Linked DNA regions of Lytechinus pictus. The protein of the gene in region 2 purifies or fractionates together with the protein of the main gene of each other region. This does not show direct contact. Links are inferred from orthologs where the notes say so. Each region holds a gene or a part of one and is shown on either strand. Other genes may lie near its edges. The genes, in order: WD repeat-containing protein 82-like, serine/threonine-protein phosphatase PP1-beta catalytic subunit, coiled-coil domain-containing protein 85C-A-like and F-actin-capping protein subunit beta-like.

What was found.
Region 1: the proteins of serine/threonine-protein phosphatase PP1-beta catalytic subunit (region 2) and WD repeat-containing protein 82-like purify together in Homo sapiens (affinity purification with mass spectrometry; 5 studies listed by BioGRID and IntAct, with this or other methods). This does not show direct contact. The link is inferred for Lytechinus pictus from reciprocal best matches to the Homo sapiens genes PPP1CB and WDR82.
Region 3: the proteins of serine/threonine-protein phosphatase PP1-beta catalytic subunit (region 2) and coiled-coil domain-containing protein 85C-A-like purify together in Homo sapiens (affinity purification with mass spectrometry; 3 studies listed by BioGRID and IntAct, with this or other methods). This does not show direct contact. The link is inferred for Lytechinus pictus from reciprocal best matches to the Homo sapiens genes PPP1CB and CCDC85C.
Region 4: the proteins of serine/threonine-protein phosphatase PP1-beta catalytic subunit (region 2) and F-actin-capping protein subunit beta-like purify together in Homo sapiens (affinity purification with mass spectrometry; 3 studies listed by BioGRID and IntAct, with this or other methods). This does not show direct contact. The link is inferred for Lytechinus pictus from reciprocal best matches to the Homo sapiens genes PPP1CB and CAPZB.

Annotation. Positions count from the first base shown.
Region 1 is NC_087247.1:65,194,199-65,201,776, reverse strand, and holds the start of WD repeat-containing protein 82-like, read right to left. Parts: upstream 3,018-7,578; 5' UTR 2,775-3,017; coding exon 2,611-2,774; intron 1-2,610. UniProt on the Homo sapiens protein: Regulatory component of the SET1/COMPASS complex implicated in the tethering of this complex to transcriptional start sites of active genes.
Region 2 is NC_087251.1:11,502,833-11,510,055, reverse strand, and holds the start of serine/threonine-protein phosphatase PP1-beta catalytic subunit, read right to left. Parts: upstream 3,005-7,223; 5' UTR 2,973-3,004; intron 2,835-2,972; 5' UTR 2,689-2,834; coding exon 2,637-2,688; intron 1-2,636. UniProt on the Homo sapiens protein: Protein phosphatase that associates with over 200 regulatory proteins to form highly specific holoenzymes which dephosphorylate hundreds of biological targets.
Region 3 is NC_087251.1:7,709,701-7,717,415, forward strand, and holds the start of coiled-coil domain-containing protein 85C-A-like, read left to right. Parts: upstream 1-4,705; 5' UTR 4,706-4,993; intron 4,994-5,143; 5' UTR 5,144-5,307; intron 5,308-7,715. UniProt on the Homo sapiens protein: May play a role in cell-cell adhesion and epithelium development through its interaction with proteins of the beta-catenin family. May play an important role in cortical development, especially in the maintenance of radial glia.
Region 4 is NC_087258.1:11,166,483-11,173,567, forward strand, and holds the start of F-actin-capping protein subunit beta-like, read right to left. Parts: upstream 3,022-7,085; 5' UTR 2,634-3,021; coding exon 2,631-2,633; intron 1-2,630. UniProt on the Homo sapiens protein: F-actin-capping proteins bind in a Ca(2+)-independent manner to the fast growing ends of actin filaments (barbed end) thereby blocking the exchange of subunits at these ends.

The DNA.
Region 1 (7,578 bases), on a different chromosome or scaffold from region 2:
ATTTTTACAATAAATAACTTTTTTACCCCACCTTTGTCACTCGGAATATCAGATCAGGTTCACGGTCCCGAAGTTCGGGTAGGTGGAGCGTAGCCGTAGACTTAGTCAGTGTAGCGGTAGTGAAGTGGAGTGGAGCCTGCACGAACTTCGCTCGAGGTAATACCTTGGTCACATTTGCTACGGCCGCCGTAGATTCTAAAATTTCTACGGCGAGTAGCAATTCTACGGTCGCCTCAGAATTTCCACGGCCACTTACTCTAGCGGTCACATATGTTACAGTCGCCGCACGGCATATTTTTTAATTTATGGAGAAAAAATCAGCGGCTGACGTATGTCCTTGAAATCATGACGTACGGTCGCCCTAGGGCGACCCTGCGCTGGCCGTAGGTTTTTGACAAATACTACGGCAGACGCGAGGTGGCCGCAAGGCGCCCTCACGGCGGCCGCAGGGGGACTATACAGTGAGTATACCATGAATTGCTTGTCATACTCATCATGATATTTTACATTAGACATTTCATTTCAGAAAGTTTTCAAAGTGTCGCACCATGCCCATGCGCGTATTCTGGATGGGAGGGAGGGGGGTTCAGGGCCCGGGCCCCCGGGTAGGCGAAAAGGGGGTACCAAAAAGAGGGAGGAAAGAAAGGGAAAGAAAAGGGAGATAAAAAAGGACGGGGAAACAAGAAGAAGAGAAAAGGGAAAAGGTGGAGTAATAAAAGTGGGGGGGGGGGGCAAATTGATGTTCGACCTAGGACGGGGGGGGGGTCGCCAAATTAATGTTTGACACTGATCTGAATATTATACGATAGGTAATGTTCGACCTAGGAAGGGGGGGGGGGGCAAATCGACCTTTGGGGTGATTCGCGCTCGCATCGAATGATTAGTTAGATGGACATCCTGTTAATGATTACCTAATGATTACCAAAATTGTGTAGAATTTGGAACGGAATATAAAATAGGTTCAGCTCGTGCTTCGCGCTCGGATCGAATAATTTTTAAGTGCCCATCCTGTTCATGATTACCAATAATGCTTAGAATTTCCAAACTTTGGGTCATTTTGGAATATAGACAATTTTCAGCTCGCCCTGACAGATAGAGAGATGCCCATCCTGCTCATGCTTACAAAACTTCTCAGAATATTATTTCCAGGTCTATACACAAGCTATCAAAAATCGCGTTCGCATTATTTATTTGAACTTATGAAATAAATCTCCCTTAACCATGTTAACTTGTTTGTATGAATAAAGTTAAGATGTTAATAAACGCGTTAGTCTTAAGTAAGAATTACACCCTAGGAAACAACAAAAATCAGCATTTAACTCCCCATGATAATACTAATGATAATGATAATAATAATAATTTTACCCAAGTTAGCCGCTGGTGAAAGGGCAATATCTGTGCTTCCTGGTCACATTTGTTCTTTAAAAAAAGTGGTATTACATCATATTCATGGATAGAAATAACCCAGAGAGCTCCCGCCCGCTGCGCGGGCGGGAGCCCAGAAGCTTACCGTGTATTTGACCATATTCACCGGACTAGGGTGATTTATGGTCTAAATATTTCTCCAAATGAATTGTGAAAACAGAAAGTATACAATTACCACGATTATATGGATGAAGGTCTAACGAGTGGCAGTTTCCTGACATCTGGGCACAGACTGGAACCTCAAAAAAACGAAAAGTTCTCTCCTTCTACCCCCGTTTCGATCGGCCATTTTTGTTAAAAATCGTAACAAAATGGCCGATCGAAGAGGAGAGAACTTTTCGTTTTTTTGAGGTTCCAGTCTGTGCCCAGATGTCAGGAAACTGCCACTCGTTAGACCTTCATCCATATAATCGTGGTAATTGTATACTTTCTGTTTTCACAATTCATTTGGAGAAATATTTAGACCATAAATCACCCTAGTCCGGTGAATATGGTCAAATACACGGTAAGCTTCTGGGCTCCCGCCCGCGCAGCGGGCGGGAGCTCTCTGGGTTAGGATAGAAACTACTTTTTATCAAGTCATCATTAAAAAAGTGGTCTGCAGTTAATTATCTGCAGTTGCCCTTTTTCATGTGATTATGAAATAAGATAATTCAACATGCATTTAAGGCACCCGTTTGCCTGGCGAGGAGGGGTCGCCATTTTTTTTCTGAAAAGTACACATGCATATGGGCCAAAATTATACTATAGCCTAGGTCGGGCCCCCGAGGTGCAAAATTCTAAATACGCACCTGGTGGCTCCCGAGCAGATAACACAAAAGGAGAAGGGGAAAGGAGGGAAGAAAAACACGAGGGCAGCCTCACGGCCACCGTACGCTCGACGTACGGCCGCCGTAGACCGTTCTACGCCATGCCTACGGCTAGTGACCCTAGTCTAATTTCTAGTAGAATTCTACGGCGAGCGTAGAAAAGAAAAAATGTTATACTTATATTAACTCCGAGTTAAAATTCTACGGCCTGTAAAAAGTAGGAATCCGCCATACGTCGACCCTGCGGCCACCGCAGATTTTCTGCGGCCGCCGCAGAAATCTCTCGAATTCAGGTATCTACGGCCGCCGTAAGGCCGCCGTAGAGCAAATGTGACCAAGGTATAAGCAGCACCGGCACCATGCATGCACCACTTACTTTCCCTCTAAACAATCGTAAATTACGATGGAATCGTCTTCACTGCTCGATATCAGCGTTTCTCCGTTGTGTGAGAAGTCGATGCTGTTGATCCGTTCCGTGTTTTGGTCTTTAAAAAGCTTCGCAACACGATAGCTTCTCATTACTTGGTCGGACAACTTCATGATTATTCAATTTCAAGTCCAAGATTTGAGTTCGTTGAATTTAAGCTGGGTTTCTGAAATCTGCCTGTTATGATCGATCGTCGGGGTTTGGTCGGTCACTACATACATGTACGTCAAACTTGGATTAAACTCGTCGCGTGTACTGTATAGTGTATGTAGTGTACGTCTAGTCTACGTCTGCAACAACGAACGTAGAGGGCAGCAACACACAAGCGTGTTGCATGCTATAAGGAAGGTCAACTCGATACGCGCATGCAGCTGAGCTGCGCGCGTATTTTATTGTTCATGCCAACGAAATCAAATGCCGATCCAATACAACAACAGATTAGTAGCGATCAAAAAACGAATATGAAAGAATATGACTACAACAATACCAAAGATAACTTAAAAAATATGTTGAGGAATATACATACATATAAAAACATACTTTGATATTTAAAACTTTACAAATATAAGTTTCAGGAAACTAAAATCATTACCAAATCGGTGATTGTTGATATCAGCGATTTCACCAGACGGCTGTATTAGGTGATTTGCGTCGAGACGATTTTGTGACCACTCGCAAAGCATTTCGGGATTGAATATAACCACCTTATTTTCTCTGAGCTCTTCGCTGAACCCATCATCACAGTGCAGCTGCAGCGCAGCGCGCAGCCAATGCAATGCATCCGATGCATGGGTTGTTTTTTCGCCGTCCATGCCATGGTCTCGGACTCAGAGTTGAAATTATAGACCCGGATTTCGGGGATACAGCGCCTTTATTTCAGATTTATAGACTTAAAAGTCAAATGACATTTAAAATTTGAAATCTAACCTTGAACAATCATCGTTGATAAACATCAGCCCTGAAGCCATTACACTTCAAATCAGGCCAGGCAAATTAGACGTCATTGTCTAAGTTGCTAGATCTATGACGAGTCGCCTGAAGCCCCAGCGCATCATCAACGTCACTAGCTAGCTGCGCGACCGGCCCAGACTCGGCACACCCAGGCCAGAAAAATGACCTCGATTATTACGGTGGTTGTCTATGCATTTATTAGTGGTGCAGCGAAATTCAGCAGAAGAAAATAAGAGATATGAGGTATCCTCGTCACAGGCTTAATATTCCAAAATGAGGACAAATGTCAAAATCATGATTATTTAAGCTAAATATTTTCTTTAAAAATAAAAGTAATATTTTTAATATTTATACCCAGAATAACCGATCTAAATAATTGTTCATTAAAAAATATTTGAAATTAGCAAATGAAAAAAAATCAACTCGACAAATTTCCCAAAACCCCACCTTATTTTTTAAAGTGGTCACAAAATTCGAGCGGAGTTGACCTTCCTTAGAGCAACACGCTTGTGTGTTGCTGCCCTCTACGTTCGTTGGTCTGCAACATAACAAAATATGATCGTCGTTCGTTTTTTAGGTGTCACGCGCGTAAAACATTCCCCATAGACTTGTGCGTTAAAATGGCACTTTTGAAAAATTCATAAAAAATAAATGTGAAATTAGAGGGTGGAATGTTTACTACCAATGGATAGGTTATATATCTGACATTCCAAATCTGACCAGGATAGGGTACCGTAGCCAGCTCATTTTAAAAATAAATCGCCATTTATGAAGATAACTATGAATGGATCGAATTCATCAACTGAAACAGTAAAATAGCCCTAATTATTCCGCCAGTCAAAAAATAGTTCCAAGTCACTTATTTATCTTCCCAATTTGGGCAAAGGAAGTTCAGTAGTTACCATTTTTAGAATCAGTGTTAGATTTTGAATCATATTTATACATTTTTGACAATCAGCAATATCAAATTGACAAAAATTCGAATGGGTTGGGTCGAACGAATATCTTTAGCCTTCCTGATGTAATTAGGCCCGTGGAACCTATATTATAGGACCTATGAATTTTATTTTTTTGAATAGCTACTTTGCTATTCTTATATATCTGTACACTCACACTAGCACAAATAAATGCATTGAAAATGTCTATTTTCTATGCAATGACCCATTTTAATGTGTTACTCATACATGTTATTTTCACTATATATGGATGTATACAAATCCTACCTGCATATAGCCCAACAGTGAATGCAATGACAATATAGGTCCCTATCAATTTTAATATAAAGGTGTATGTAAATTTTGTGTAGATATCAGGATACCAGAACTGCCCCAAACATATACCAAATATCAAATATACATGAGATTTGATGAGGAAACAATAAAAGAATGAGATACTACTTTAGTATACTTGCATTTGACCTATTCAAAATCTTCCTAGGGCTGTACGTTGCCTCTCAAATGTAAGAAGGAAGAGATACATAAATAGATAGATAGAAAGAGAGAGAGAGAGAGAGAGAGAGAGAAAGAAGGATAATTTTATAGATGGCATGGCTTAATAAAGAGGGGGGGGGCTATGCTAAGATTGCAGCACACAGCCACCCCCCCTCATCCTTAGTTGAGCACTATTAGATACCTTACCTTACTCTGTGCCCTTTCTGAATTCCTTCTTGAAGGTACCACTCTAGTTCTCTTCAGTAAAGTTCTCAAAGTTCTACCTCCTCTCTACCTACCCCCTTCCTAAGAACAATTTTAAAATGAGCAATTTCTAAAGGTCTTTCTAATGCTAAGTAGGTGATGTACACTAACACAAAACAATGATAAATCAGAACATAAAGAGGCATTGACTCTATACATTGACCAATCTACATACATTCCTAGGCTACCCAGACCTACTAACTTTACCTGATGTAGCCCTGCTAGCCATTAAATCCATTTTTTTGCACCACTTGATGACTAAACATATTGATATAAGTGCATGAGAAATTGTTTGCTACTGAACAGTTTGGCCAGGTATACCATCCACTACTAGGGATTTCCCATATTACTTACAGGTGTCACGCGCGTAAAACATTCCCCATAGACTTGTGTGTTAAAATGGCACTTTTGAAAAATTCATAAAAAATAAATGTGAAATTAGAGGGTGGAATGTTTACTACCAATGGATAGGTTATATATCTGACATTCCAAATCTGACCAGGATAGGGTACCGTAGCCAGCTCATTTTAAAAATAAATCGCCATTTATGAAGATAACTATGAATGGATCGAATTCATCAACTGAAACAGTAAAATAGCCCTAATTATTCCGCCAGTCAAAAAATAGTTCCAAGTCACTTATTTATCTTCCCAATTTGGGCAAAGGAAGTTCAGTAGTTACCATTTTTAGAATCAGTGTTAGATTTTGAATCATATTTATACATTTTTGACAATCAGCAATATCAAATTGACAAAAATTCGAATGGGTTGGGTCGAACGAATATCTTTAGCCTTCCTGATGTAATTAGGCCCGTGGAACCTTTAGCGAGTCGTCACCACTGAACTAGAAATACGTGGAATACGTGTCCCTATTCCCAACGTACACAAAGCCGTGCGGCAACGAAGAGCATCGGACTTCACGCTCGACTGAGCGCGCCGCCATTTTGCTAGGTCAATACTGGCTAGTCGACAAATGCTGCGTGAAGGCAGATGGGAGAAAGGAACGCAAAGAAAGTGTTCCTTGTGCTGTTTAAAGTTTTAGTTTGCTTTGTTACATCATGAACTATATGTTATTGAATACTTTCATAACTGAAAATGTTGATTTAGTCACATTTTTTTATTAAAAAAATGTAAAGGGGAGTAAACATACAGACATGAAATCATAAAAACTCGACCTTTTTCACGCGCACACTATGACAAAGAAAGGCCCAACAACAAATTTGCTTTCTGAGTAGGCCTACAATTTGTCTGAACAATAAAGGCCTACAAGCTGGTTGCATTAAAAAAAAATCTTTTAACGATTAGAAATCATGTCCCTTTTCTCTAGCTTTTTTTTTAAACCTCCCTTCTCATTCAACTATTCATCTCATCTCATTTTCTCTGATTTTCCTCTTCTGTCCATCTCTCTTATCCTCCCTTTTCTCCATCCCCTTCTATTTCTTCCATTTCTACTTTCATGCCCCTCTCTCTCTTATTTCTCCCCTTTATATCATCGCGATCTCCCTCTTTATTAATTTTCCTTTCTCTTTGGCTTCTTTCTCTCTGATTTTCCTCTTCTTTATCATCTCTCCCTCTCTATACCTTCCCTTTCTATATATCCCCCTTATATCTCTCTTTTATTTCCCCATCTCCCTTATATCAAGCCCTCTTATCTCCCTCTCGTCTCGCCTTTCTCTCCTCACCTTTTTCTCATTCCTCGTCATTTCCCCCTTTCTCTCACTCTCTCTCTCTCTTTGATCTTCCTCTACTTTCCATCTCTTCTCGTTGATCGTCTGTTTCTTGTTTTCTCTCCGGCTGCATCTTTACCATTTTGCCTTTCTCATTTCAACTTTCTCTATATAAATTTTGAGTAAATATTCCCTTCCCTCCCTCTCATACTGTTCAATCACACATTCAGGGTGAAAAATTGGATAGAAGTTTGAGGACAAGAAGGTTGTTACTTTTAATGTGCCTTCAAAGTTGGACCTTCGTGTGCTCAGCCATGAAATATCTATAAGTACAGTGTATATAAAAATGGGCACAATATAATTTGAATTCTTATGAAATTTTAATTTGGAAGAGCATGGATGTTGCACGACATGTGCTTATACATCAATACACCTTTACATAAAGGAAGGGGTGATGGATACACAAATTCAACTCTAACAAGTTTACTAATTAGAGCACAGATCAGAAAAGCATAGCAATGGTAATTCCATTTAAAAAGTTGTGGCACTAAATTTCGCTTATTTTCACATACCAAATAATTATATGCATATCCTGGTCAGTATATA
Region 2 (7,223 bases):
GTCGCTCTTAACTTACAAACAGCTTTATGAAATGCCTCCACCTGAAAGCATAGAATTTTAAGCACTTTGGGGTTTCAATTTTACTAAAATTATGTGGGCAGGAGCTGACGTTTCTTTACCAGTGGTGGATCCAGCTTTCACTATGGGGGGGAGGCCAAAAAATATTTTCATCTACATATTCTAAGCACTTTTTGTACCTGTGAACATGATGGGTATACGTATAGAAACAATTAATGCAAGCGCGAAATGCGAGTTGAGAAATGTTGATATTTTGACCTCAAGCAATGAACAACACTCGGTCATCATCACATATCCATCTTCACATCCCCCGAACATTAAAATTAGTAGGTGATAGGTCATTTTCTGTGTTTGCCCCCAAATATTGGAATAGATTACCCCATAAACTTAGACAATGTTCTTCTATTGATGTGTTTAAGAAGATGCTTAAATCTCATTTTGTGTAGTTTTGTTTTAAGTTTTCACCGATTGTATTTGTTTTGTCATTTGTACAGCGCTTTGTAACTTTTGAAAAAGCGCTTAATAAGAAGTATGGTGAGACTACCACATATCGACCACCTCTTTTGAAACTGACCACCTTGCGCGTGTTAAAATTATTGCGTATTACAAACGATACGCGCGGGAGAGTAGGCGCAGTGTCCGTAGAAACGGTAAGAATCGATTTTACGAGAAAAAAAGAAACAAAAAGTAAAAATTTAGTAGAATTAATCAAAATTGTATTGACCAGACCCAAACCCCGCTGAAAAACCAAGAAATCCGATAGGAAACAGCTTTAGAACGAATATCCGTCGTCAATCGTCGAATCATGTGCCGGAGCTCGCAGTGGAAGTATTGAGACGATAATTTAACATGTTGACATCATAGAACTGATTTTGAAAAGTAAAAATATTTCACCACTGCGACAAGAATCGGCCGTAAACTTAGCGTAACACGGGTGGTCGGTTTCAAAAGACGGGTGCAAATGAGCAAATGTAAAATTGTCGTATTCGTTGTTCGTCGATACGCGGATTGAATCAGAGTCGCCGAGCGAAACATAGGAATCTGATCTGCTCAATTTTCTGCACAAATGAGACGAAATCTGGGTAAAAATTGATGAATATTTTCGCAGATACGAAGCTTAGAAGATTAGGTGGTCGATAAGGGGTAGTTTCAACCATACATGTAATTATTATATTATTATTAAAGTTTGAAAGTAAAGCACTTTTGGTAATCAAGAAGAAGATGGGCATCTATCTCAACATTTTTGCAAGCGCAATGCGCAAGCTGAAAATTTTTGAATTTCCGCCCAAAACTGCACATTATATGCACTATTGGTAATCATGAACAGGGTGGGTATCTAACAAATCACTTTATGCGAGCGCAGAGTGTGAGGTGAAAATTTTTGATATTCCGATTTCCGAAGTCAAAACCAAAACTGGATGTTCTAAAGTACATGTTGTAACCATGAATAGGATGGGTATCTATCTAAACAATTGATGCGAGCGCCCCCTATATCAAACATTAATTTGGTGCCCCTAGGTCAGACATCAATTCAGCGCCTGTATGTCGAACTTCAATTCAGCGCCCCACTTGGTTAAACATCAATTCGGCGCCCTCCTTGGTTGAACATCAATTTGGTGCCCCCCCCCCATGTCAAATGTAACAATTCGGTGCCCCTAGGTACAGTAGAACATAAATTTGGCACCCCTATGTTGAACTTCAATTCAGTACCCCTAGGTCGAATATCAATTTGGCACCCCTAGGTCGAACATCAATTCGGCAACCCATAGCCTAGGTAGAACATAAATTTGGCGCCCCTACATCAACTTCCAATCGGCACCCCTAGGTAGAACATCAATTCTCTGCCCCCCCCCCCAGGTTGAGGATCAATCCGGCACCAGTGTCGAATTTCAATTCCCCGCCCCACTAAGTCCTATTAATTTGGCGCCACTAAAGTAAAATATTAATTCAGCGCCCCCTACATTCCTACAATGTAGGTCGAACATCAACTTGGCGCCCCCCTAGGCCGAACATCAATTCGGCACCCACCCCCTTCCCTTTTTCCCCTCTCTATTTCTTTCCCTTTTTCCCCTTTCTCTTCTTTCCCTTCTTTTAACTCTCCATTTTCTTTTCCTCTCTTTTGGCGCCCTCTTTTTCGCCTACTCGCCTCCCCCCCCCCCCCCCCAGAATACACGCATGCACACTTTGTAACGTTACAAATAACTCTGTAAATTCAGCTTTGATTTCATTTTCAGTTGACTCAAATTTAATTCCACCTCCATCATGTCCATTCATCTGACAATCATCACCAGTTATGGCAGATTTAATTTTGCAAGTGCAAATGTGTTCAACTAAAAAAGCACTTTCTTGAACAACGATTTGCTCTCATAAATATTAATGAACAGAACCGACGTTGCTTTGGAGCTGATTGAAGTCATTTGCATTTGATCACGAATGCACTAGGCCTATACCGGTACCGTACCGAGCTCATTCACGCAACACACAGCATCTGCGGATTACACGCAGCGTTTACTGAAACGCTTCCTGGTTCGAAAAAAAATCATGATTTTTGACCCATTAAAGCAACAATGTACAAAATAATCACCCACAACACATTACAAATATGTCAACAGTAATACCTTCCAGTAGACGAGTGAGAATGCTGTCAATATCCAATTCCAAATCCGCCATGATTAGAAAGTGCCGGTGAGAAACTATTGATCGGCGATTTTTAACCCAGGCAGGCCAACCGTTCTAGTAGGCCGTGTACCGGTACGTTATAATGATCGGACGTGATGAGCGAGGAATTCTGTTTCGGCTCGGAGATTCGAGCTGTTCTGTGAGAAAAGCCGAGAGTCTAAAATTAAGGAAAAATATAGATTCCAACAGAAAAAGATTTTATGTACCTAAACAATAGTTTCATATAATCTAATTCCAATTATTTTCAGAATAATTCTCTACAAAATCAAACTTGCCCTGCAATACACTTTCAGGACCATGACGTCATAGGGACGGGAATTTCCTTATTTGGAAAATGAGCCCCATCCTTCATAGTACAGGGTCACAAATTTCAGGACATACGTTTTATCAATTTATTGAGTGAAAAATAGAGACAATTTCAATGAAATGACATTCTTTAATAAGAATATGTCTCATAAGCCTAGTCGAGATAAAAACCAGGGCATGCATCCCTTTAGTACTTCCTTGTATTGTTCCGGTCCGCTTATGGGCCCGCTTAACCTACTCAAGAGGGGGTTTTCCCTAAATTTTGATTGCTACACTTCGGCCAAGTTATGCGAGTAGGTCCATGATGGGAATAATGTCATGGCTAGCGACTTTGTGCAATTTTTAAGTGATCTTCGGTTTTCAATTATTTTGCTCGTCTTCTGAAGATTACATGTAATTTTGTTTACATTAATTTTCATCCGATCCCTGAATGAAGGTCTAATTTACCACAAAAATGTATAACCCCGGCTGCCGTCCCGTAACAAACGGAATCGATTCTTTTTTTTCCAAGTTCCTTTTTTTTTATAGAGATATTTGCTGTAGGCCTATAGATGCAGGGGCGTCGATCCATTTTTCAGATTGGGGGGGGGGGGGGGCAAAGTCATGAATCAACGTTCCAAAGGCACTCGATCAAAACAAACAAACTCACCCCCCACACACACACCCACATAGGCCTATATATATATATATATATATGACTCATGAGAAAGAGACACATATCTCACCAACAAATTATTGCGAGCGCAAAGCGCGAGCTGAAATTTTTTAGTATACTGACCTGAAAGCAGGAAAAAGATACCTGTTTGTAGTAACTCATGTGGAGGATACATATTTCACTACACAGATAATGCGAGTGCCGAGAGCGAGCTGAAATGTCTTTATATTCTGACCTGAAAGCTTGATTTTCTAAGCATTTTTGGTACTAATGATTAAGATGGGTATCTAAAAGAACAACAGATGCAAGCGTGAAGCGCGAGCTGAAAATTTTGATATTTCGATCTGAAAAAATTTGTGTTTAATGGAGTTTTTTTAATAAAGAACAAGACATATATTCAACAAAAGATTATTGCTATTGCAAATCGGAGCGGGAGTTCTTTTGAGGTTTAGAACTGAAAACGAGACATTCTATTCACCTATTTAATCATGAAAAGCAGTATGGGTTTTTGCTACAGAAATGATGCGAGCGCGAAGTGCGAGCTGAAAATTTTTATATTCCAATCTAAAAAGCGGACATTTTGAGCACGATTTTAAATAAAGAACGAGTTGTGTATCGCTTGCTGATTTCTGTGTAACATTACAATCTTACTTTATTATTGCACATGCGGAATTATTGGGGGGGGGGGGCAAAACGATATGTTTGTCCCCCCCATATTTTCATTGGTGGGGCGATCGCCCCCCCCCCCTGCCGCCCCCCCCCCCCCCCCCCAAGGATTGACGCCTCTGTATAGATGCATAATGTGGTGATAAAGGAATTTGATCACACACAGCCCTCAATTTCTGAAATTAGACGTTTCAAATCGGGAGTAAAAGGCAATCAAATTTCACAAACAAATGGGCTACTGAATTACCATTATAGTTATGAATGACTTCACTTGAGCATCAAATTATGCCGATGAATTGAACATATAGCCCTATATTTTATAGATATTATTATTATTATCTTATAAATATTATTAATTTCTAGTCGAGATCAGAGATGGGCTTTTAAGAATAATCGATTTCTTTTGCAGGGGCGGCCGGCCGCGGTTCGTGCACCGTTCTGAAAGTGTGTGTGGGGGGTATTTCAAACGTTTTTTGTTACTTGCCTTTGGAAAAATGTGAAGTCGCCAAGCCCCCCCCCCCCCGTCCTCATTTAGCAGTCACTAGTTTCCCTGTAAACAAGGTTGTATTGGTAGTTCATAGTAATGCCCTTTTTACTGTCGGTACCCCCCCCCCCCCTCCACTCGTCCTAATTCAAATGATTGCCGCCTTAACACGTCACCATGTGGGGGGCGGGGAGGCGGATTATGCCCACCGTGTAGCTAGGAACTGCCCTATTATAGAGCTGCCATGACACTGATTTATGCTGGGAATCTCAATTTTAAACCTCTTTCTCATAGGCGGATCCATGGGGGACGAAAGAACCCCCCCCCCCTATATTGGCGGTGCAAAAAAGGGAGAGAAATAGAAGGGAAAGAGATAAGATGAAAAGAAGAGAAAAAAATAAGAGGAGGAAGACAAGTGAATAAGATGATGACGATTGGAAGACTTAGAAAATTAGAAGAAAAAAAATTATGATCGCTTATACCTGTTCGATGACTCGGACATATCTTGCTCAATAGGCTGATACGGAGCTTCAAATATTAGTATCTGGTTCAGAGAAGTCACTGTGGGCCTACATTTAAACATATTTCAGCTCGGACATCGAGCTCTCATTATTTTCTTTGATTTACCCATTTATTTTAGAAAAAAAAGTGCACTTAAAATATTTTGTGTTATGGTTAGAATGTCATTTTTTTAGCTTGCGCTGCAAGCTCGAAATTTTGATTTGTGAAATAGGCCTACCTATTCTCTTGTGTACTTCATTTTAGAATATTTGTTTTCAGGTCTGATTGTCCAAAATTATCAGCCAGCGCTGCGCGCTCGTATTTTTGTTAGTGAGTTATGTACTTCTATATGAATTCTATCCCGGCCTTTTAATGAGAGTTTATCAAAACTTTCGGCTTGCGCTTTGCGCTTGCATTAAATTATAAACCCATCATATTCATCATTACAAAAGTGCTTACATGTTGTAATTAATATCGGCAAACTTTGCGCTCTCATTACGCCTATTATAATATTAAATGAGATAATTATATCCTTTTCATGAATTCCTAATCCTCAAATTGTCCCTTTTAGATCCGAATATCAACAATTTTGAGCTCGCACTTACTAGGAGGAATATGATACAAAAATGCGCTTTGAATATATATCCCGTTCCTATATATCAAAATAATTATATTGAAAAAAATCAGCTCGTATTTGGCGTTCGCATCATTTATTAAGTGCAATCCATATCCATATCCTCTTCACAATTTTTTCTACATAGTGCTTAAATTTTCCCCTTGTCAGATAGGATAATCAAGAATTTAAGTTGAGCTATGTGCTCGCATTATTGATTTAGGAAGTACTCTTCCTTTTCACAATGATAAAATATGTTTTGTGAAAAAAAGTGAAAAGAAACAGAGCTCGCGCTTCGCGCACGCATGGCTAGCTCTTTGTTTAAAACGTGCTTACTTATTTTCCATTTTCAGATTAGAATACTTAAAAAGCTCTGCACGCGCTTCGCGCTCGTTTTATTCATGGGATTCATGTAGGAAGATACCCATCTTTTACATGATTACAAAATATAAAAAGAGTGTCCAGTTTTTAGGTCTAAATCTCTCCTTTATTTTTCCTTTCATAAAATTGTTCTTGATCAATCATGTTGCAAAGAATGTTCAATTTTCAGGACAAACAACATGAAATTACAAAAAAAAATCAGCTCTGGCTTCGCGCTCGCATTATTTAATTAGGGCTTATGAGATGAAATTATCAATTTTATAAGAATAAAGCCAAGAAGACTAACCCTTGAAATTAACCAACAAAACTCACCTTTGTGAGCGGCCGATCAGGGAAAATGTGGATGAATATATTTTTCGCCTCTCACTATTGGCGAAAGCAGAATCAGAATCCGCCCGTGCTCTTTGATATAATCAATTTTATTTTAAGATCGCCATCTTACTAGTAGGGTAACATTTACACGGGAATATTCATTAGGGAAATGATCGTAAAAAGACAAAATAGATATCACAAAATACAAAGGAACATCATGAAGTAAGTTGGCTTGGGAAAATTAACATTTAGAATGGCCGGAACACAAGCGCACTTGTGTTAATACAGTGTTTTTGTTTGTTTTTTGTTTAATTCTTAGCTTAAAAGGGGCACTTGCCGTTAAGAAGCCTTCACGTATTTTGTAACCGTTGCAATCCTTAGCAAAATGTATCCAAGTGGTCGCAAGCGGAAAAATTAGAGAGGCCGTTAAAAGGAAATAAAATAGTATACTGAGATTAAGAATACTTGTTAAACACTTATGCTGAAAATGTGCAGTTATTATGGAAAGTGAGGTCCATGCACTGATTAAACTGAAATTGAGCACTTGATTACCAGCTCTAAATAAATATAGTCCGAGTAAACGATTCAATTGGAGACTTTATGTTTGT
Region 3 (7,715 bases), about 3.8 Mb from region 2:
TTGATATTGCAATTTCGCTTTTAGAAATTGTGCCCTCACGCTCTTCAAACCTCGTTTTATCTGGTCATGCAAAAGTCAAGTCCTCCATCTGATGTCTGGATGAGCGGTCGCACGCTGATAAGCTATTCAGAAATGAGGTCACCGATGCGGAGCGGCCGCCATCGTTGTACCGTCAAACATGTGCGGTTCTCAGAGAGAGGGATGGGGGTGGGGGCTTCTGGGAACTTGAACCATTAGTTTACGGACTATAGACGAGCGATAGAACTGGAGGAGGCCGGGGGGGGGGCAACTGCCACAAAAGTAGCATTTTTTGCTTCCAAAACTCCCTTGATAAACAAGCAGAGAACTGTAGGATGATAAATAGAACTTTTCTTTAATTTGTACATTTCTGTTTTTATTGGTAAATAAAATCAATCTCAAAATCAGTCACAATATTGACAAGTCAAATGAACCATAATTGGAAACAATCATAAAAAACAATTTTAACAACAATAAAATAATTGATAATAAAAAAGCATGTATTGTTCAGGAACGAAGCTCACTGAGACATACAGTATAAATTTTAAATCAAGGATAAGTGAAAAAAACCATGTAATGTGAGGATCGCTCCTGCCATTACCAGAAAAGACATTGGCAGTAATAAAACAACACATTGTTTAAAAACAAACAACAACCAGAAAAAAATATATAACAGTACGTAGTATATACTCTTTTTCTTCTTCTTCTTCTTCTCCTCCTCCTCCTTATCCTTCTTCTCCCTCTTCTTCTTCTTCCCAGTTCTTCTTCCTAGCTTTCTTAGGTTTTTTTTTTTTATTCGAAACAGCATTGCATATTGGTTGATATTGCAATTTCCCTTATAGAAATTGCGCCCTCCCGCTCGTCACACCTCATTTTATCTGGCCGCGCTGCAAAAGTCGAAGTCCTCCCTCCTCCTTCTTCTTTTTCTTCTTCTTCTCATGCAGTTTATCGACGATAAACTCAGTTTTTCACTGATAAACTAAGTTTTTCGATCGAAAAACTAAGTTTATCGAGAAAACCCTACTTTATCGCGTGATAAACTGAGTTTTCACTTGAAAAACAGAGTTATTTTATAAAATATTTATCAAGCGAAAAAATAAGTTCTTCAAATTCAATAAACTAAGTTTTTCGATTTGAAAAACTCAGTTCATCGAATTTGAAAAACTTAAATTTTTCGATTTCGAAAAACTCATTTTTTTTCCATTTTGATAATCACGAACAGTTATTCACCATTAATATATCGGTTGTGCAGCCACATACCTATGGCGGGGGAGTATGGGTAAGGGTTTTAAAATAGGGTGATCATTGTCTTTAGGTCGAAGGGCACTGAAAGCAGGGGGAGCAGAGGGGGCACTTGCTTCCCACAATAAAATTTTGGGGTTTGGCAAAACGATTTTATTGGGGGGAGGGTAAAGATAAAGGGATTTAAAAAGGGGGATCAATGGCATTGGGTCCAAGGGGACTGGAAGTGGGGTAAGAGGGGGCACTTAATTGCCCCCCCCCCCAAAAAAAAAAAATGGGGGTGTGACACAGGATTTTGTCTTGGGGTATATGCATACAGATGTTAGAAGAAACTTGAAAGCGAGTAAGCAAAGTAGCCAGCTTGTCACGCTTATACATAATTTTTTCCAGAGTGAAATTAACGGATTTCGTGCACAATTTGGGATAATTTTATGAAAATATTCAGTGAAAAAAAATGTAAGTTTTCAAAATGTTTGGGGGTAACTGTCCCTCTCCTGCTGCGTGCGGCCATGCCCCGCATGTGCCCCTTAAAATCAGAAAATAATTAATCATAAAAAAACAAATGAAGGCACAATTTCATAACTAAAAAATTGAGAAATTTTCGCCCCCAAGGAGCACTATCACTTATCATTATATTCAATGTAAATGCAAATCCTATGGGAATTACTTGGGGCAATCACGTGCCCCCCGGTAAATTGCCAATTCGTCCACTGCCAACTCGTCCACTCACCACATGGTCTATATATACCTTCATTTAGTCTAACGCCGTTCCGTCCATCAACGTTTCGTCTACCAACCATTTGGTCCAATAACCATTTGGTCCGATCGTCACTTCGTCTAATTGCCAGTTCGTCTATCGTCTCATTAATTTTACCCAATTAACACTTAATCTAATTAGACCAACTGGTAAATGGACTAAATGGCTATTGGACCAACTGGTTATTAGACGAAATGGCAGTTATACTAAATGGATATCGGACGAACTGATGGTAGACCAAATGATAGCAGACGAGTTGGCAATTGGACGAATTGGCATTGGACCTAATGAAAATACCACCCCACCCGCCACCATCCGGTAATTCTGCTGCTCCTAAAACGAAAGGGCTCAAAATAATTGCAATTGTCTTACTTAACAGACTGAAAGTTTTGAACTAACGAGAAAAGAAAAAAAGACAATGAGTTTATCAGAAGTAAATAATGGCATTTATGTATAATTGGGGCACATGGGCACGCTGGAGAAGAATTTTATTATGACATGTGTGACAAAGGGAGCTAAAGAGGCGATAAATTTCTCAGTTATGAAACTGCATGACACTTTATAGACAAAAGTTCCTTCATTGTTGATTCTTTTCATTTTTAACTTCAAGGGGACACATTAGGTTATTGCTGTACTCAGCCAAGGGGGCAGATCTCCCCAGACATTAAGAAAAACCTTACAAAAAATTCACCAAAAGTGCCACGAACTCCTTCAATTTCAACTTAGAAAATGCAAAAGTGCCCCATGACAAGCTCGATTACTTAATTCGCTCCCTCCTTTTCAAAATTCTTCTAAAATCTTTATGCCTCTTGCCCCCTCCAGGCCCCAGGACAAAGAAAATCGCACAAAGCATCTAGGGAAGGGGGCAAAAACTAATTGCGCAACCCCAAAATTTATTGCTGGGATGGAGCAAGCTCCCCCCCCCCCCCCTCTGCCCCTCGCTTCCAGCGCCCTTGACCTCAATGACAAGGATCCACCTTTTTTAGAACCCACTTACACCCATCCCCCAAAACATGTTTACCAACCCAAACTTTATTTGCAGGGGTGCAAGATTCCCCTCTTCCACCCCTCTCACCCCCGGCTTCCAGCCCCCTCGGACTCCATGACAACGATCCCTTTTTTAATCATACCCACTATACCCCTGCAGATCACTGACTGCACAACGGCCCGCACAACGGCCATAATGAATAACTCTGATTATCGAAATTGAAAAACTCAGATTATCGAAAAAAAATCAATTTATCAAATTTAATAAACTAATTAAGTTTTTCGAATTTGATTTTTCGCCAATAAACTTAGCTTTTCGCTAATAAACTCAGTTTATCACTTGAAAAACTCAGTTGATCAAGAACTCTGTTTTATTTCAGTCGAAGCATAGCCTCGCGAAACTCTGTTTTATCAAATGAAAAACTAAGTTTATCGGAAAAAACTTGTTTAATAAACGAAAAACTAAGTTTATTCAATGAAAAATTATGTTTCTCATTTGAAAACCCCCAAACTGAGCTTTTCTTGATAAACTGAGTTTATCGGCGAAAAAATGAGTTTATCGGTGAGAAACTGAGTTTTTCACCTTTATGGGTTAATGGCGCGCCATATCCTCCTCTTCCTCCCGTAAGGCAAGGGCGGAAATCTCTCCCCAAATGTAGGGGGACCAGGGACTGGAAATTTGACAAGAAAAAAAAAATGGTTATCGCCCCAAATGTAAGGTAATTTCGACCCAAAGAAATTTGACAAGCAAAAAAAAAAAAAGTTATCACCCCAAAAGTAAGGTCATCTCGTCCAAAATACATGTTTTATTTCGATTTTTAATGATGTATTTCTTTCCATCATAAAAGACCAAAATAGTAGGGGGACATTTGATATTGTGCCCCCCTACTATTTTGGGTAGGGGGACGCGTCCCCCCTGGGATTTTCGCCCATGCCGTAAGGACTTGGAAGGGTTGGAATCCAGTTTGATTCGCACGCTGCTATGTCTGACAAGAACATTTGATCAAAGAGTAATATGCATGAAATCTGAAGGTGTGTTTAAAGGGATGGTCCGGGCTGAAAATATTTATATCTGAATAAATAGAGTAAAATTCACAGAGCAAAATGCTGAAAATTTCATTGAAATCGGATAACAAATAACAAAGTTATTGAATTTTGAAGTTTATCAATATGTTATGAAAACAGTTATATGCACATCGTCATGAATATTCATTAGATGGGCTGATGATGTCACATCCCCACTTTCCTTATATGTTATTACATGAAATCATAAATGTTTCATTATTTCATACATGTGTACATGATGTGTCTCCATTATGATGAAATAAGTTGCGGCAATAAATAACTAATGCACTTAATCAGTTATCAATCAATTGGTTCTTGGTAGAAAAGTTTTTCATAAACCTAATTTCATATAATAAAATACAAAAGAACAAGTGGGGATATGACATCATCAGCCCACCTAATGAATATTCATAAAGACATGCCTAGATCTGTTTCACATGAATTATGCAAATATTTAAAATTCATTAACTTCGTTATTTGTTATCCGATTTTGATCAAATTTTCAGCATTTTGTTTTGTAAATTGTACTCTTTTTATGGGATTGAGATATAAATATCTCCAGCCTGGACCATCCGTTTAACCATGGAGCTTGGTTTAACAGGGCTATCGATGATATATATAAGAAGGGGAACTGATGGGCGTGGCCATGCAAGTGCGTGTCCCATAATGGACCTGCGATGTCCATGGATGGTGTTTTCGATCAGTGGTTTTCATAGAAAGCGCGAAACATAATAATAACATACATGTAATTCATCAGTGGAGAGGAATGTACCACGCGCCGAACGTTATCAATTCCGGTTTTGCGGTTTTGGGGGAAGACCCCCCCCCCCCCCCATTCCTATATATATATATATATACTAGTATATCATGCCTTCCAAAAAACTTCGAGCATTACTTCTTACAACTGTACATATTCTTCCGCTGGTATGTAATCCCCTTTTTATCTTTTTTAACTTAAATAAATGCAAAAATTGATTTAATGAAAATGAAAATATCACATCAAAATTTAAATTCCAAAATTATGTCTTTGAAAACCCAGTTCTTCTAACAATAATCTAAATTATTTAATGCTAGCAGAGGGAGTATATTGGAATGAGAGGACAGCAGGTTCTGTTAAATGATTGAGGTCAGAGGTCATGATGCGGCCATGTTTACTACAAATTTGACGTGTGTACTATGATGGAGGAGAGCAGCAAATTATCGGCAATTGAATGCATTTCAACTTGAGGGCTACCTATGTGAGTATTCCATTATTTCCTATCGTCAAATATGTGCTTGTAATTATGTTTGTTATTATTATTCAATTCCACTGATGAATTGGATTACAGTTACGTAGCGGCTGTACGCTTTTCAAAATCGTTTCTGACTTCGCCTTCGCCTCGGCCGGGTTCGAGTTGGGCCCAGTTGCAGTGGCAGTGCCTTGGTTTGCGCTGGTAAAGGCTAGCATCGCGTCGCCGGTCGCCTCAGACCAGAGACAGAGTGACAGAGATCGAGAGTCTTCGTCGTCTTGGCTGCCGGGCCGGTGCGGTGAGCTGTGCCTTATTTTGTTAGGCCAAGCGAGAGCGTGCCGTGAGCCGAGACTTTGAATGGACTGAGTCTGAGCTTAGAGTGATACCTCGGTCACACTCACAGTTGCTCTACGGACTATGCCTACGGCGAGTCGAAAACAGCCGTTTAAATTTTTTTTGTACCAACTACATAGGCCTAGCCCTAGGTGGTTTGATTAAAAATGAATTAAAACGGCTGTTTTCGACTCGCCGTACGGCCGTCGTAGACGTAGTCTTAGAGCAAATGAAATGTTAGACAGGAATAACCGTCGTTTCTGGGGATTTATTCAACAATTTCTGACATTTTACTATAATCCCCATTAACCGACGGTAGGGTATACGTGTTGGCTCGCATGTGTTCTCATTCCCACCCTTTTGTCAATTCACAGTCCAAAGTTTGATGTAATTTTACACATCGAATTTACAATCTAAGGATGTATGGTTGGGGGTCCTAAAGCTACGCGGGTCCTAAAGCTACGCACCACTCATCGCGCATGCAATTCCAATGGCAAAATAAATGCGCACTCTAGCTCTGTGTGTGAAGCTGTGACGAACGATCCCTATTCAATTTTTCTACAGAGGCTGCAATAAATCCTCGAATGCAGAGAAAACCAGCAAATGTTTGGAATTTCGGAGTTATATTCACTTTGATTTCATATTTTCCTATAATAATACGGACATATTTTAGAAATTGAGGCACAGGAAATACTATTTCTTTGCATGATAAATTGAGAGCGTAGCTTTAGGACCCCTTCTACATCGGGCGGCGAAATTAAGAGGTGTTCGGAAAACACGGCGGGATTTTCGTATTAGTGAGTTTTGTGATATTTTCTTCTTGGTTAAGGATATTTAGAATATTTATTACAAATTAGTGAAAAATAATTGTTCAAATATTACAATTGGCATAGTTTTTATCATTTGGAAACAAAGTGCGTAGCTTTAGGTCCCCCCATCATATAACCAACAAACTTTTAAAACTGGATATTTTGTTAACAAAATACTTTAAACGATATAGATGAAAAGGCATGAAAAATTATACTTTACCGATGTTTAATTGGGTTGAACACGATAAAAAAGGTCAATATGGCAGCCAAACTATGAAATATTTACAAACGAACGGAGAGGGCGTCAACAATCACGAATGTGATATCGATATTGCTTTCGATATTATACGATCTGCTCCTTATTTGAATTCATGAAAAGGATACGTACACTCTACCTCGGTAATCATATAACGCGAGCGCGTAGCGCTTGCTGGTTTTTAAAGATAAAATTATCATCACTATTATTTACTATTATTATATAATTATCATTATCGCTAAAATCATTGTGGTTTTTAAATATTATCGTTGTAAGTATTAATATTTGTAGTAGTAATATTTCATTATCGAGGTTATGTTATACCGAGGTTATACCGAGGTTGTTTTACCTGACTGCTAAGAAAGCACGAATGCCTGTGAGCAAGCAACCAGGGGACCAACGGCTTAAGGTCCTCTCCGAGGGACCTGGTAATGAGGATAAATGCCTTACCAAAGGGCACTAGCGCACCACTTGGGAATCGAACCCGGGTCACCGGAATCCGAAACCCCCGCTCTACCGACTGAGCTATCGCGCCTCCTACTGAGCTATCGCGCCTCCTACTGAGCTATCGCGCCTCCTTATCATCGTTATTATGTTATTTTGTTATTATGTTATTATGTTATTTTGTTATTATGTTATTATCATCGTTATTATGATTATTATTATTTCATTATTATCATCATCATCATCATTGTCATTATTTTCATTATATATATTATCACTATGGTTAAGAGATAAAAGAATAATATTTTTCAGATAAATGTTATAGTAAACTGGTCGGGTTGATAAAATTTCTTGTTTGAAATTGAATTCCCAATTGGTCATGACCAGTTCCAGTCATTCTCTGATGATGTCGAGTACCAGTGGCGTACCGTGGGTCACGGCATTGGGGGGGGGGGGGCACCAGCAAAAATTTTGAGTCATTTACTGGGCTGGCGAAGCGCGCTCAATTGCCAGGTACTGACGTAATAGAAGCATTTTAAGGACTGTTTCATTAAACAGATATGTATCTCACTGAT
Region 4 (7,085 bases), on a different chromosome or scaffold from region 2:
AACAAATACCCCAATTTGGCCAAAGTTCATTGACCCTAAATGACCTTTGACCTTGATCATGTGACCTGAAACTTGCACAGGATGTTCAGTAATACTTGATTACTATTATGTCCAAGTTTCATGAATCAGATCCATAAACTTTCAAAGTTATGATGGTAATTCAACAGATACCCCCAATTTGGCCAAAGTTCATTGACCCTAAATGACCTTTGACCTTGGTCATGTGACGTGAAACTCATGCAGGATGTTCAGTGATACTTGATTAACCTTATGTATAAGTTTCATGAACTAGGTCCATATATTTTCTAAGTTATGATGACATTTCAAAAACTTAACCTTAGGTTAAGATTTTGATGTTGATTCCCCCAACATGGTCTAAGTTCATTGACCCTAAATGACCTTTGACCTTGGTCATGTGACATGAAACTCAGGCAGGATGTTCAGTAATACTTGATTAACCTTATGGCCAAGTTTCATGAACTAGGTCCATATACTTTCTAAGTTATGCTGTCATTTCAAAAACTTAACCTCAGGTTAAGATTTGGTGTTGACGCCGCCGCCGCCGTCGCCGTCGGAAAAGCGGCGCCTATAGTCTCACTCTGCTATGCAGGTGAGACAAAAACTTCAGAGTATAAGCTTTAAAAGGACATACAATATGTTATATTTAGGCAAAGATTTAATTTTGGCTTCAGAGGGGACAATAGCTTGGACCTGCCCCTATAAACTTCTCTGAGATAATACAAAATTTTTGAAAGAGAAAAAAATTACTCAGAAGGTGAAAAAACAAAAATTCCTTTCTAACTTCACCAGGCTTGTTGCACATGTGTTGTCTGTAATATGGTGGATGGCTGTCAATAATAGCAATAAATTGAGGGCAGTATTGCATAAATTTATTTAACTTAGGCGTTAAAGAAAATTATAATGCTTCAACTTACCCCGCGTTCCAAATAACCCCGCTCTCCCCTAATAATTAAAATCGGCATTTGCACAGCTAAAATATATTATTTTATCAACAATTAAGCAATTATTTTGGGGTCTAGAGTGTGATTTAAATCGCCAAATTGATCGCGGCGCACAACTCTACGCGTCCGATATTTGGAAACTGCGTCCGATTTTCTGCAAAAAAAAGCCTCTGGTAGTAAGTAAATAATTTCCGTTTTTCGGTTTACCATAATTTTTTCGATTCTATTTTTTATGAAATTGATATTCAACATTTGTCCTACAGATATAAACATGATTTTTATTTGATTCAATGATTGTATTTTTGTTTTGGTCCAATTATGCTTAACTTAAGTGTCCGATATTTGGGCACTTTAGGCCTACTTACTAGTATAACGTTAGAATCTGTGTTCTTAATGAACATGATGAGTTACACTAGAGGCGCATCGCCAATATGGGAGACTGTCTCCCAAGAGAGAGATTATCTCCAATATCAGAGACTTTTGTAAATAATTTGGGTATCCAATTTCAGAGACAATCTCCAGTTTGGGAGACCAATTTTCTTTGTTTACATTTGCTGCAAAAGGTTTACCTCGGCGGCAAATAAAAATGTGATTGGCAGATTCCTCATGAAAAAATTACCCCTTTTCACCGTCTACTTTAAAAATTCACCGTCTACTTTTGTTTTGATAAGGATTTTTGTTGTCATCCACACACAAAACAAATGGGCTTCTGACCCACCCAAGGGTTCATTACATGCCGCCGCGCACAGAAAATTCAAGCCATAGAAGTCGTGTGTTGTGGACCCAAGAAGTGAGATCCCAGCACGCGCGACCCACTAGTTAGAAATCCACTGCCAAACGCGGTTCGTGGTGCGAGGTTAGTATACTAATACTAACCTCGCAATACGTGTGAGTGCTTCTGACCTAAGTGAGACAAAATTTTGGGTGGAAAAAATAACGCTTTTGTTGGTGTTGTTTCTTTTGTTCTTTTGCAAAGCAAGTCTCCAATATGGGAGATTGTCTCCCCTATCGGAGAGTCTCCCATATTGGCCGTGCGCCTCTACTGAGTTAAGACTTAAGTATCACTCCTCTCATAACATGCATATTAACGTGCATTCAAATCTAGTCTAATTTCATCTTCGAGATAGCAGATGAATGCTGTTTCATTTTTTTTTTGTCCTAGAATAGATCTTCTGTCATGACATTTGTCAATGATTATCAAATATATCACTTAGGCCTAGTTAATTAGCAGTATCACTATCTTATTATCAGATTCAGAAATACTGTCTTTTATTAAAAGACAGTAGGCCTATTTCTGAATCTGAAAAAGTTTTAATTTTACTGATTACTTTTTAGTTTCGTTTTTTTTTGGTCCTACCTAACATAAATAATGGTATCAAAGTATATTTGGGAGAATATACTCTTTCAGGCCATACATAATAATCATATTTTCATGAAATATTTTTCCTTAAATTGGGAATTTGTGAAGTGTCACTGTCATTTTTTTTTTACTCAGGTATGTTACCCGGTAGTCTCACCTCACCCTACAAATTTGTCAACGTGTGGGACTGACTTTACAGTAGCGACTCCAAATAACCAGCGACAAAATAACAGTTATTTCATACAATCACAAAGAACCATGGAAATAAATAAGATAAATATATTACAAGGAGTTTAAGCTTCACTTACCATCTTTTTTGTTGAATTTAGGCTCTCAGAAATAGATTATGACTCTTTGTTTTTGTTACGGTCGCCGCTCTCTTCCGTGTGAACCCTCCCAAAATGGCAGAATAAGTACATCCGGGCTTTTCAAATAGGGACGCCCTCCCAGTGGTTTTCCTTATTTGGCAAAAATACCAAAGGCCTTTGCATGAATATTCAAGACGAAACTCTACATCAGTTTTCATTGTCTTATAGAGTTTTCATTAATTTCAGACTATTTCTTCATATCTATAACAAACCATCAGCTAATAATTAATGATCAATCAAATTAAGGAAATTCCTTCAGCTATTGATGGAGAATCCCGGGAGAGAGTGAACGAATTATTTCTTATCACCCTCATTCTACCACGCATTCTACACCCGGAAGTGTTTGGCTAGAATTTATAAATCAGATAAAAATCTGTGTATACTTGATTACACCGAACGTAAATTCCCCTTATCTTCATTTAATTACCATAGTATATTAAGATAGTACCATGTAGTGATTAAGGAAATTCCACAGTTAAAATGAAATCCATATCATTTTCACCAAACTTTGCACATAATAGTGGCATAAGAAGACAAAATCCAAATCCTGTCTTGGAGAGTTGACTCGGCCAGACGGCACAACTGTGGATGATGACTTTGATAAAGCTGAGGTGTTAAATGACTTTTTTGCATCAATATTTACGCAAGAAGATACCAGTAATCTTCCTCCATTTCTTGATAGACCCTTTGACTCTACACTTAATGATATTGTCATTACAAGAGATATGGTTTTGGAAAGATTATTGATGCTGGACAAAACTAAGTCTCCAGGGCCGGACGAGATTCCAAATCGGATATTGAAAGAACTTGCAGATGAACTAGCCCAACCTCTTGCCGATCTCTTCAATGAATCCTTGAGGAGTGGTTCTGTTCCTGTAGCATGGAAGATGGCGAATGTAACTCCATTATTCAAAAGAGGAGATAAACGTAATCCCAACAATTATAGACCAGTGAGTTTAACAAGTACAATTGGCAAAGTTATGGAGCAGATTATTCGTGAAAATATTATTAATCACATGGTTACAAACCAGCTGTATAGCTCACATCAACATGGATTCAGAAAAGGCAAATCATGTGCTACTCAACTTCTGGAAGTTATTGAGGAATGGACTAAGGATTTGGATAAAGGAAAATCAATTGACTGTATATATTTGGACTACAAAAAAGCATTTGATAGCGTCCCCCATCGAAGACTTCTGCTTAAGCTTCATTCATATGGAATCAGAGGTAGTGTCTTGAATTGGATCAGATCCTTCTTAAAGAACAGAGAGCAACGGGTGGTTGTTAATGGAGTTTTCTCAAATTCTGTTAGAGTCAGTAGTGGAATTCCCCAAGGGAGTGTTATCGGTCCGGAGCTATTTCTGATTTTCATAAATGATTTACCAGATGTCCTAGCTTCTCAAGCAAGTGTTATCAAGTTATTTGCTGACGATACCAAATTATTTGCTGAAGTTAACAACGATCAAGAATGGGAAATCCTTCAAGCTGATTTACTGAGGATTCAAAGTTGGGCAATCTTATGGCAACTTCCCTTCAATACAGGAAAATGTAAAGTCCTTCACTATGGCAGAAAGAACCTGCACTATGACTATAAGTTAAGTTTGGATGGCCCGACCATCGAAGTCAGCCACAGTGAAAAGGACTTGGGTGTCATTTTCGACGATCAGCTAAGTTTTTCTCAACACATAGATCAGATAGCAAAAGCAGGAAATAAGAAGATGGGGATCATCAAGAGATCTTTCTCATTCCTTGAACCTAAGAGCTTCAAACTACTTTATAAGTCCATAGTTCGACCTGCTTTGGAGTATTGTTCACAGATTTGGCATCCATACTTGAAGAAGGATCAGGAGAAACTCGAGAGAGTTCAACGAAGAGCTACAAAAGCAGTTCCAAGTTTACAGGTCAAAAGCTACCCGGAAAGATTGGCCCAATTGAAGTTACCTTCATTATCTTACCGACGTCACAGAGCAGATCTTGTCCAAGTATTCCGAATAACTCAAGGAACTGACGATCTAGAGACTTCTAAATTCTTCAAATTCAATGAAGACTCCAGAACTAGAGGACATATATATAAGATTGAGAAACCCAGAGCAAATACTCGAAAAAGACAAAATTCTTTCTCACACCGAGTAGTATCAGAGTGGAACAACCTGCCAAATCAAGTTGTGAAGAGTACTTCCATAAACTCTTTCAAATCAAACTTAGAGAAATCTTGGAACCTCAAAAAGGAAAAGTTTAACCCTGACCAATCCTTTACTTGCCCATGTTCCCATTAATAACGTTACCTGCTGAAACCACACATCGCCATATAACCTGTACCAGTTTATCTTCCACTATAATGACTTCATGAAATCATAGAAATTGGAAGGAGGAGAGGGGCAAACAAGTTTTTTAGGTAAAACTTTACGCCCACAACAAGGTATGTTACAAGGTATGTTATATAATAAGCCAAAGTGCAAAGATGTACGTGATTATGTAATTATATATTAGACCCCCGATTAGACCTGAAAACAAGGGATCACAATGTTGATTTATTTCACCGTAAAAACACATGCAAATTCAATCAGATTTTTCAAGAATGAGAGCCGATTCTGCTGAAGATGTAGTTACTATCTATGCTAGCGATGAGCCGATGAGGTCCCCGGTTTTGGAGTTATAGCAGGATGCAAATTCACCCCCGAACACTGTCTCCTGCAAGAAATTAACGAAAAATAATTATTAATTATTTTGAAATGGGCCACCAGACTATCACCCTATGTAGTGATGTCGGCTGATATCCTATTACTGGAGAATAAATAAGGGGCGGACTTTGTGCGTTCTTCCCCAAAAAAGATCCGACCAAGCAAAAAAAGGAAAAGGAGAGAGAAAGGGAAATGATAAAGAGTGAATATTATTTTTTCGATTATAGGTCAAAATTTATCACAAAACGATATCATCTTGTCAACAGGCAATATATTTTTCGTCCGGCGCTAGAAAAAGATTTGACTAATTGCACCACTGTGGTATATCATTTTAGTTTTCTTTAATGAATCCATGTACTTCCAAAAACTCTTCAATTCGTATGATAGATAGCCATTATATGCCTCGGTGTTATTCAGTTAACGTTGAATGAAATTAATATGATAGGTATGGAGATTCAAGCCAACTCGAGGTGTATAAATAGCTAAACGTTTTATAGACCCAGTGGCGTAGCTAGGATTTTTTTCCTGGGGGGCACAGGGGTCCATGCTTTTTAATGGGGGAACATTTTTTTTCATCTGTGTGTATGTGTCACAGGGGCGGATCCAGCTTTCGACACTAGGGAGTGGGGCCTGATATTATTTTCACCCATATTTTCCCCGATCGGCCGCTCAAAGTGGATTTTTGCTTGTTTGAATTTCGGGGGTAGTTTAGTCACAGTTCCTTCTTACGGGCTTCTTAGCTTTGAAAACAACATAAATATGAAATAATCTCATAAGCCCTATATAAAAAAGTGATTTTTTTTTTTTAACTTTCATGTATTTTGTCCTTCAAATTTAACCTTCTGGGCCATGTTTGTGATCTTGAACAAGATGCGTGAAATGATTACTGCGAGCAGAAATTTTAAATTACCGTTCTGGCCTGATAAGAACTGTTTGCAGTTAGCCACAAAGACGATACATATTTCAGCAATTAAATAATGCGAGCGCGACGCTCGAGCTGACAATTTTTGATATTCCGACCTAAAAAAGGTCATTCTAAGCAATTGTAATCATAAAAGGAATAGGTATGTAACTAAACAATTGGTGCGATTCAGATTTTAGACCTGAGAAAACGGGACACTCTATTCATGTTTTGTAAATCATGAATAGGGTTGGGCATCTTCCTAATAATGCGAGCATGAAGCGCGAGCAGAAAATTATTGATATTCTGTTCTGAAACTTGATAAGTTAAGAACGTTTTATATAAAGAACAAGCTGCCTATCTCAATAAACATGCGTGCGCGTGATTTAGATTTAGCCCTAGAATCTGAGCATCGATCTGAATACATTTTTTTATCATGAAGATTAATAATGCGAGCACGAAGCGCGAGATGGAAACATTCGATATTCCGATCTGAAAAAGAGTCAATTTAAAAACTATTTCAAGCACTGTGTAGGGAAATTTTGAAGTGGATGTGAAACACACTTAATAAACATGCGAGCGCGAAGCACGAGCTGATATTTTTTATTATCATTTTGACATAGGGCCGGGACATTCTAAGGACATTTTGTCATCATAATGAAAATGATGCTTATCTTCCTATTATTCCTAAGCGCGAGATGAAACTTGTCGATATTCCATTCTGAAAAGGGGCCAATTTATTTATTAGGAATTTATGAAAATATTATTTACTCATTTATTAATCTAATATGCTTAATGAGAGCGTGGAATTTG